Linked DNA regions of Mus musculus. The protein of the gene in region 2 interacts with the protein of the main gene of each other region in a pairwise test. Links are inferred from orthologs where the notes say so. Each region holds a gene or a part of one and is shown on either strand. Other genes may lie near its edges. The genes, in order: Tnmd and Tmem79.

Region 1 (4,334 bases), on a different chromosome or scaffold from region 2:
GTGTGTGTGTGTGTGTGCGCGAGCGCTCGAGTGCATGTGTGAACTCACATGCATGATTGAGGTATACTAGGAGTCTAATACTGCTTATGCCTTTTTGAGATCAGGAGTCTGGAGCTTTTGTGCATAGGAAAGTGGGAGGAAAGAGAAAGACTTAGTAGCATGGAAATGTCAACACCAGATGTAGGCTGTTAAATAAACACTGTTTATTATAAACAGATGTTGAAAGAGAAAACAAGAAGGAGTGTTGTGGGGGCTGCAAGAGCAAACACTGAGATCCCAGAGACAGCTCCAGCACAATGAAGGTATCACTCCTCCATTGAACAGACAAGCATCAAGAGTTATCTCTACCAAAAGCCACACAAGCCTCCCAAATCCCACAGGCAGCTAAAGGCAAGTCCAGAAGACCAAGGATTTTACTTTGCTAATCAGCCTTTCATTCCAGCTCATACTCTTAAGCAGAGAGTCTTAAATTTGTACAAGACACTTGGATCATTTTTCCTCTGGAAATATTCTTCCCAGACTAATAGGACTGCTTTTATTTTCTCTGGATTCGTAACTGCTCAGATGCAGGTCTAGTCAGAGTCTTGGTCACTAGGAGGTACATGGCTAGCCTCCCAAGTTCCTTGCCTGGGACTTAGAAGGTATTAGTTAAGTGAATAAAGAATCCATGCTGCTACCTGCTCTCTTGATTTAAAGTGATCCCAACCTGATTTTGTAGTGAAGGCCAGGACTTAGATAAGAAAAATAGTTTATTGCAATTCCTCATTGGAATAGAAAACAAGTAGTACTTATTCGTGGTAGAAAAGCTTATCCTAAGAGATACATAATGTATTTTATCTGCACTTCTTCATAATAACTTTGGTCCCTCATTTACACTCCTTTTGGTGAAAATTATGTATCCTAAGATGAATTACTTTAAGAGGGCTTTGATTTTTTCTTTTTAAATAAACTTTAATCAGTAGCACACCCCACCTTTTTTCATGCATGCACGACCTGAGTTTTATGTTTGGTTTCAGGAATGACAGAATTACTTTTTGGAAATCATATTTAAGAGAACTGGAATTGGAAACAAAGGTAGCATAATTGGAAGACAGGGGAGATCATGAACTCAGCTAGGGAGTGTGAATTCTTACAAGATAAAGGCAAGATCTCCTGAGTCACTCCCTAGGCATTTATTATCGCACTGAGGAAAATGCCATTGTAAGATTTAAAAACACATTAATACTGTTAGAATGCCATTTATACTGCCAATGAATACAAGAAAGTAAGAAAGACTATGTGTTCCCTGTTCAGACAGGCATCTATGAATGGTAAAGAAGATTAGCCACCTACCACATCCAGTGAAGGCTATACTTTCAGCAACAAAAATGATTTATGGTCCTGTATATAATTATGGTCCTTATCCAATTTCCAAGAGAATCACTGATTTAACTTTTGGGGTCACATATCACTTAAGGAATTAGCTAAGTGGTACTGTAAGGAAGTCATTGTGCTGGAATGAATGTTGGCTCTTGAGTCATTTTCTGATGGTGGTTTCTTTGCCCACCTTGCTAGCCTTAACATAGTTGGCTTCCCTAGAAAGACAGCTGCACAGTAAACAGTTCAAAAGCAGCAGGGCAGTGGGGGTGGGCTAATAGGAGTAGGTGATGCCTGAAAACCTTTCTGGAACATGATGTAAATAAAAGGGAAACAAATAAGTAGGCTTGTTTGCTCTCCCTCCCACTTAAACTTTATAAGGTATCCTTTGAGACTAAATGCAAACAGGTATTGCAGCAGAGGTAGCTGATCCCAGGGTGGCTATGCCTTACTTTTTGTGCTTTCAGTTGGATTTCTAGCCAGCTTATTTTATTTCTCTCCCCCTTTGTCTGCCTTTCCCACATGAACTCTTTGCTCCTATTGCTCCTTTGGCTCCTAATGGTCCATGCCAAACCATTTTCTTCTTGTCTCATTTTCCTTCCAGGATCTGTGTCTTTTCTTTCCCACATTTGCTACCAAGTAGAAATGAGTATCTCATGGCAAAAACAAAAACAAAAACAAAAACAAAAAACAACAACAACAACAACAACAACAAAAAACTATAACACCTGCAGGAGCTGCAGCAACAACAGTGACCTACAAATAGAGAAGAATATGGCAAAGCCAGAAACCTGTCTTCATGGGTTGTAGCTCATCTCATTTTCATTCAAATGTTAATTGTTAGCAAGAAAAAAAGCTTCCAGGAGATTTAACTCCTTAAAGTCAACCATAAAGGAATGGGTACATTTATCTACTGTCATTACTAACCAAAATGTAGAATACAATTTTAACCTCACCTAAATAAGCAAATGAAAGGAAAACTTTGATTTTATTTTCCTATGCCCCCAAATGAATAAAAAAGGATGAAAAGAGTTTTCAAATTAATTTCCATGTTAATCCCTAATTAAATACAATCAAATTCAGAAAAGAAACACCGGATAAGTTTCTGTTACTTACTTTCTTGGATACCTCGGGCCAGAAGTGTTTGCTCCCCCAAAACAGGACAATTAGAGTTAAGGCCAGGATACCAAACACTAGTCCACAAATCTTCAGTGATTTACATATCTTCTTAGATTTCAGAGCTTCTGCCTAAGCAAAGAACAGAAAGGATGAAACAATGTACAATAACCCTCAAAATAGCAAGCCATAATTCAAAGTCTCCTTCAATTTCACTTTCTAATGTTCACTTTGCAATACGATAAATCTGCAAAATCGTGCTCCTGCTCAAAAGGGAAAAAATATATGAATCAACTTACATTTAGAATGTGACAGCCCTCACAGTTCTCTGGAGGATTCTTTGCCATGGTCTCCCAGCACACGGTGCTCTTTCCCTGCTTTGAGAGGACTGAGAGGACTACTGCTGAGGTGGAGTTGCAAGTGAGTCGGCTACCAGATGCCGGAGGAGAAGCTGAATTTATATGGCTCAAATATGTCATACCAGAGCCGGAGGGAGCCCAGGGGGCTCCCGTGCTACGATTTGTTACATAGATATACCCATATATGTATATAACTTCTGTGCACAGAATTCCATCCAGAATGGCAAAGACAGAAGGTTATAATGAAAACTATTGTCTTGGGGGTTGGGTTGGAAGGGGATCAAGCCTAGGACACACTGAAATGATTTTTCACTATGAACTTAAAAATACCAGTGGCAATACATGCTGCACACTCCAGAAGTAAGCAAACAGAGCAGAAAAAAGGGGGACGACGACAAAGGTCTAATTTGATTTCCATGTAATTAAACAAGTATTTATTGTAGGAATATTAAGTATCAGGTACTTTCCTGAGTGCTAGAGAGTCAGAGATGAATAAGTTAGCATGTCTCCCTATGTAAAAGTATTCTGAATGCCAAGACCAAAGTATATTTGACTAATTATAATTGAAACCAGGATAAAATGAAGAGCAATTGTCAGCTTTTTCTCTTCATTCCATCTCTATGATGAATTTTCTATCCTTTAGTTGGTCCCTCAATGCTGGTATTTGTTATATTTCTTCATGCTTTTGTCACTTTAGCATATATGCTTAAATGATATTATCCAGTCCTGGAGTTAATATATCACTTATATAGCAATGCAACTCGATTCTGTGCCTGTAACCCAGTTCTGTCTTTACTTTCAAAGCCATTTGAACATCTCGAGCATCTGTACCCGGATGTAACTCAGAAATCGCAAACTCAGTATGTTACCTATCAAACTCTTTCCTTTTTAACACTTCCTTCCTCCAGCTTGCTTTCTTTTTACTAATCCTAATCTTGATTGGTGATTACAGTTAGTGTTTGGGATACCATAACAAAGCACTGCAGAATTATTGACTTGCATATAAAAACTCTACTCCTTGAAAAAAAAAACAGTCCTTACATTTCTGGAGGCTATAGTACATGATCAAGATGTCATCTAGGCTGCTTGCTTCTTTCCTTCCTTCCTTCCTCCCTCCCTCCCTCCCTCCCTCCCTCCCTCCCTCCCTCCCTCCCTCCCTCCCTCCTTCCTTCCTTCCTTCCTTCCTTCCTTCCTTTCTCCTCCCTTCCTTTCCCCTCCCTCCCTCCCTCCCTCCCTCCCTCCCTCCCTCCCTCCCTCCTTCCCTCTCTCCCTTCCCTTCTTCCCTCCATCCCTTCCTTCCTCCCTTTCTTCTTTCTCCTTCCTTCCTTTCTTTCATACATTTTATTTAGATTTTTAGTAATTTTACCTTTATTGAAAATAAAGTTATTTTCATAGACTATATTTAGATCTCACTTTCCTTCCTCATCTCCCAGATCCTTCCCACCACCTCACCCTTCCCTGTCTTAAGAAAACAGACAGGCAAATGAAAAAGACAAAGAGGGA
Region 2 (4,402 bases):
CAGAGAGCAATGGTATCAGAGCCATTCAGCCACTAGAGGGGGCTGTTTAAGTGCAGGAACTGGCCTCACGAAGGTCAGGGTAGGGGCAATCCATTCACTTCTCTTTCTCTCTTTCTTTCTTTCTTTCTTTCTTTCTTTCTTTCTTTCTTTCTTTCTTTCTTTCTTTCTTTCTTTCTCTTTAAAGATTTATTTATTTATTATATGTAACTACACTGTAGCTGTCTTCAGTCACTCCAAAAGAGGGCACCAGATCTCGTTAGGATGGTTGTGAGACACCATGTGGTTGCTGGGATTTGAACTCTGGACCTTCGGAAGAGCAGTCAGGTGCTCTTACCCACTGAGCCATCTCACCAGCCCCTCTTTCTTTCTCTCTCTCTCTCTCTCTCTCTCTCTCTCTCTCTCTCTCTCTCTCCCTCCCTCCCTCCCTCCCTCCCTCCCTCCCTCCCTCCCTTCCTTCTTTCCTTTCTTTTCTTTCTTTTTTTTTTTTTTTTTGATTGTTTGTTTCGAGACAGGGTTTCTCCGTGTAGCCCTGGCTGTCCTGGAACTCACTCTGTAGACCAGGCTGGCCTCGAACTAAGAAATCCGCCTGCCTCTGTCTCCCAAATTCTGGGATTAAAGGCGTGCACCACCACGCCCAGTTAGAGGCCAATTCTTAAAGCTATTTGGATGGAGAGTTTCAGAGTAAAGTAGCTTCAGTGAACACACTAAATGACAAATGAGGTTAGAGTACGCAAGGCAATGGATTCAACACTATACTAAAAAAAAGTCAAAAGCTCCCCATTGCCATGGCTCTGAGACCAACTGCTACCCAGTGTAGCTCAACAGACAGCAAGCTCATCACTGCCTGGTGCACATCCAGAAACACCCCACCCCGACTCCCATCCCCGACCTCAGGTTTGCAGACCTTCAGCTCCCTGGAGGATCTGGAATCATGTCTTCCTCATGCCTACCCCAGCCATGGCCACCCCAGCCCCCGCCCGACTCACCGAGATATGGCAAAGAGACCGGTGAGCAGCGGGAGCAGCTTGAGGGTGTCCTGGGGCAGATAGGTGGAAAGCACAGCCAGGTTAAAGAAGTAGAGGATGAAGAGCTGCACAGACTGGGCCACGTACTGCCGGTGGATCTCCACTTCCCGCCTCGGCTCGCCGAAGGGCCGAAGCGCAGAAAAGCACAATAGGCTCAGCCCGTACACAAGGAGCCCTATCAAGAGGGTAAGCACATGGGATCAGAAAAGGCAGGAAGGTTGGGATGGGTTTCCCAGAAGATAGCTCTTTGGGTCGGGGCTACAGAGTGGACACAAGAGCTCCCTGGAGGAGAGGACAGAGAGTGGCAGGTTCAGGATACCCTGAGTGGTTCCAGCAGAATGAAGAGAAACCACCCAGTCGAAAGCTCTGTAATCCACTTCCCAGGTAGCCCTTCTCCACGGGGCCAGACTCACCGAGTACGATGGGAAAGGTGGCAAAGACCCCACAGCGAAGGGTGTAAACCAAGCGGGAGCTCATGGTGGGCAGCCTCGGGGCATCGAAAGGCAGGAAGGCGTATGCTCCGTACAGCAGACAGGGGAAGAAGATGAGGGCCGCCACCACCGAGGCGACAGCTCTCAGTGCCTCACGACCTCCACAGCTTCCACAGCCCCCGCAGGACCGGCCAGGGGGTCTCACCACGGCCTCAGCCCACTTGCGCTCTGGGGGCTCAGGGTGGCTGAGTCGAGCTGGCAGGAAATTCCTGAGCTCGCCTGGTCCAGCGTCGCGATGCAGGATGCGCTCCTCCTGTGGCTTCCGCTCGATGCACTGTAGATCAATGGGCACGAAGGCCCTAACTGTCTTCTCGGGGAGCAGGTTGGCATCCTCTTTGAATGGCTCCTCCGACTTAGTAGGTGCCTCTGACTCTAGGGGCTCTGGTTCAATATCTCGCCAGCCCGGGGGATCCGGAAGTGGGGCGCTAGGATGGGGGTCAGTTCCCCAGGGTAAAGTGGCAGCCTCACTTATTGTGCTGTCTGGACCATCCTCAGGCCCCTCTCTGACTATAGGAGACCCTACTGAAGACCCCACTCTGAGCGACTCAGTTCCAGGGGACTCAGTCCCACCTTCTTCCTCTGACTGCAGGACTAAAGCCTGCGGTGGGCTCTTCTCTGGAGTCTCGGGTTCCTTCATGTCCAGCAGGGCCAGTGTCTCCGGTTCTGTCATTGTGAGGCTTCAGTTCCGAGGGCTACCACAGAACGATGTCATCCTATAGGCAGTGGGAGAAGTTCTGTGAGAATACCTAGTCTTCTGGCCCCAGGACAGTTTCTCAGACCTAGAACTCCCCAGAGAAGCTGGCCTCATGGGACTCTAGGGAGAACACTGTGGGGAGGAAGGTGTTGAAACAGAGAGGCGGGCGGGCAGCAGAGGAGCGAAATGGAGGATCCCTTTCAAAATAAATGTCATCCAGCAGGACAAGGGTGAGTCAGGGGGCACAAGCAGAGGCAGGTGTGGCCTGTCTATACCCACACCTGCCTTCTACTCTCTCCACTAAAACTCCCGGATTTTTGGCCACCCTGGCTTTGGAATGGGAGGCTGAGGTGTCTAGGACTAGGCGGAGTTTCTCTACAGCCAAGGGTCACCCTATAGATAGAGAAATTGGCCCTTCCCCCTTCCTTCCACCTGCCCTTTGACCTGCAGGTCCCTCCAGGAACTCGACACCAGATCTCGGTTCCTCAGTCTCCATTCCAGGAGTCGGTCATTTTCTGAACTCTCCCATTGCCAGTCTCACCCGATTCAGCTGGGCTGGGCTCCACTCAGACTCCCAGCTCTAGTGTGGCCGTTCCCAAGCCTTCCTCTTGTTTCCTCCCCTGCCACCCTCCAGCTCACAGCTTCTGGATTGGGCTCCCTTCGTTCACCTCTTGGGCCCCTCCTACCCCTGCCCTTTGGATCCATGATACCCTCTTACTTTCCATCTGCAAAGAGGCGGAGGATCTCCGGAAAGGAGCTGCCTAGCTCCTGGCTGGCTCTGCAAGTATTTCCCAGTTTCCCTCCCTTGCCTGTGTCTCCAAACCTGTCTGACCAGAGCGGGTGGGGCCCAGATTAAAGGCGCAGGCCCTGCCCTACAGAATCTGCCTACTGGAAGGACTCTACAGGAGGACGTCATCCTTTTTGAAAGTAAGGGTGCAGCTGGGCACAGAGGTGTGGACTTAATGTATTCTGGGATCTGTAAGAGCTTCCAGCTCAGGGAAGCATCAGGGTATAAAAGTGGGTTTGTGTATCAAAGGGTGCTCAGAGTAAATTGGCTAAAAGATGACACTGCAAGTTTGTTCATCCAGTAAATGTTTATTGGGTATCTATTATTAATGAGGCGCTATTTCTGTGGTGGTACAAGCCTTTAATCCCAGCACATGAGGCAGAGGCAGGCAGATTTCTGAGTCTGAAGCCAGGCTGGTCCAGCAGCCAGAGTTATGTAGAGACTCTCTCTCTCTCTCTCTCTCTCTCTCTCACACACACACACACACACACACACACACACACACTCCAACAAACAAAAAAAGTGCTAGTCTAGGCACATGTACAGAAAAGAACAAAGTGACAAGGTTTCTAGCTGTTCAGGTAACCAACATTAAAGTTCACACCAAATCAGTAGTAGAATTTCAGTAGTGAGAGCCTCTTTAGGGTGACTGAAGCTGAAACCCAGTGGAAGTTCCCTGTAGAGGAACAGCGCAGCCAACAGATGGAAAAAGACTTGAGGCAGTTTGAGGAATAGAAAGGAGACTTGGTGGCTGGAGCCAGGAGCATAGTGGTATATACATTGCCATTATAATGTGGAGAGAGAGAGAGAGAGAGAACCCCAAAGATCCGCCTTATAGTTAGGAAAACAATAGGGCTGACAAGATGGCTCACCAAGCCTGACTACCTGAGTCTGATTCCCCAGAGAACCACACTTTTAAAAGAAAACTGACTCTCCCAAGTTCTCTGGCCACGTGTATGTTGTATGCATGCACCCACAAAATATAAATAAATAACTCTCTCGGGAAGAATTCCTTTAAAAAACAAGCAACTTCAGGAGCCACCCCTCAGGCGCGCTGGGATTTTGGCAGCTGACTTGACCTTGTGCATGCCGATCTCCACAACCTCCGGATCTTAAAATCTTTTCGCTGCCCCTCTTCTGCAACGATGTCTGATTCAATGATAGCTGGCCCATTCGTTTTATTATTTTATGCACTTTGGCGTTTTGCCTCTAAACATGTCTGTATGAGGGTTTCGGACCCCCTGGAGCTGGAGTTTCAGATGGTTGTGAGCTGCCATGTGGGTAGTCACTTCTCCAGCACCTAGCTGTCCCATGGCGAGCTTTGCACTCTACGGTCTCTTTTCTTTTCCCCTGGAAACTTAATTTTTTTAAATTCATTTTATTTTGGGGGCTAGGGAGCGTGACA

The links.
Region 1: the proteins of Tmem79 (region 2) and Tnmd interact in binary tests that used the Homo sapiens proteins (3 or more experiments, as listed by UniProt). The two-hybrid records come from large-scale screens. The link is inferred for Mus musculus from reciprocal best matches to the Homo sapiens genes TMEM79 and TNMD.

What each region holds. Positions count from the first base shown.
Region 1 is NC_000086.7:133,849,692-133,854,025, reverse strand, and holds the start of Tnmd (tenomodulin), read right to left. Parts: upstream 3,019-4,334; 5' UTR 2,820-3,018; coding exon 2,772-2,819; intron 2,605-2,771; coding exon 2,473-2,604; intron 1-2,472. UniProt on the Homo sapiens protein: May be an angiogenesis inhibitor.
Region 2 is NC_000069.6:88,331,454-88,335,855, forward strand, and holds the start of Tmem79 (transmembrane protein 79), read right to left. Parts: upstream 2,981-4,402; 5' UTR 2,929-2,980; intron 2,877-2,928; exon of another isoform or gene 2,655-2,876; intron 2,230-2,654; 5' UTR 2,187-2,229; coding exon 1,439-2,186; intron 1,201-1,438; coding exon 987-1,200; intron 1-986.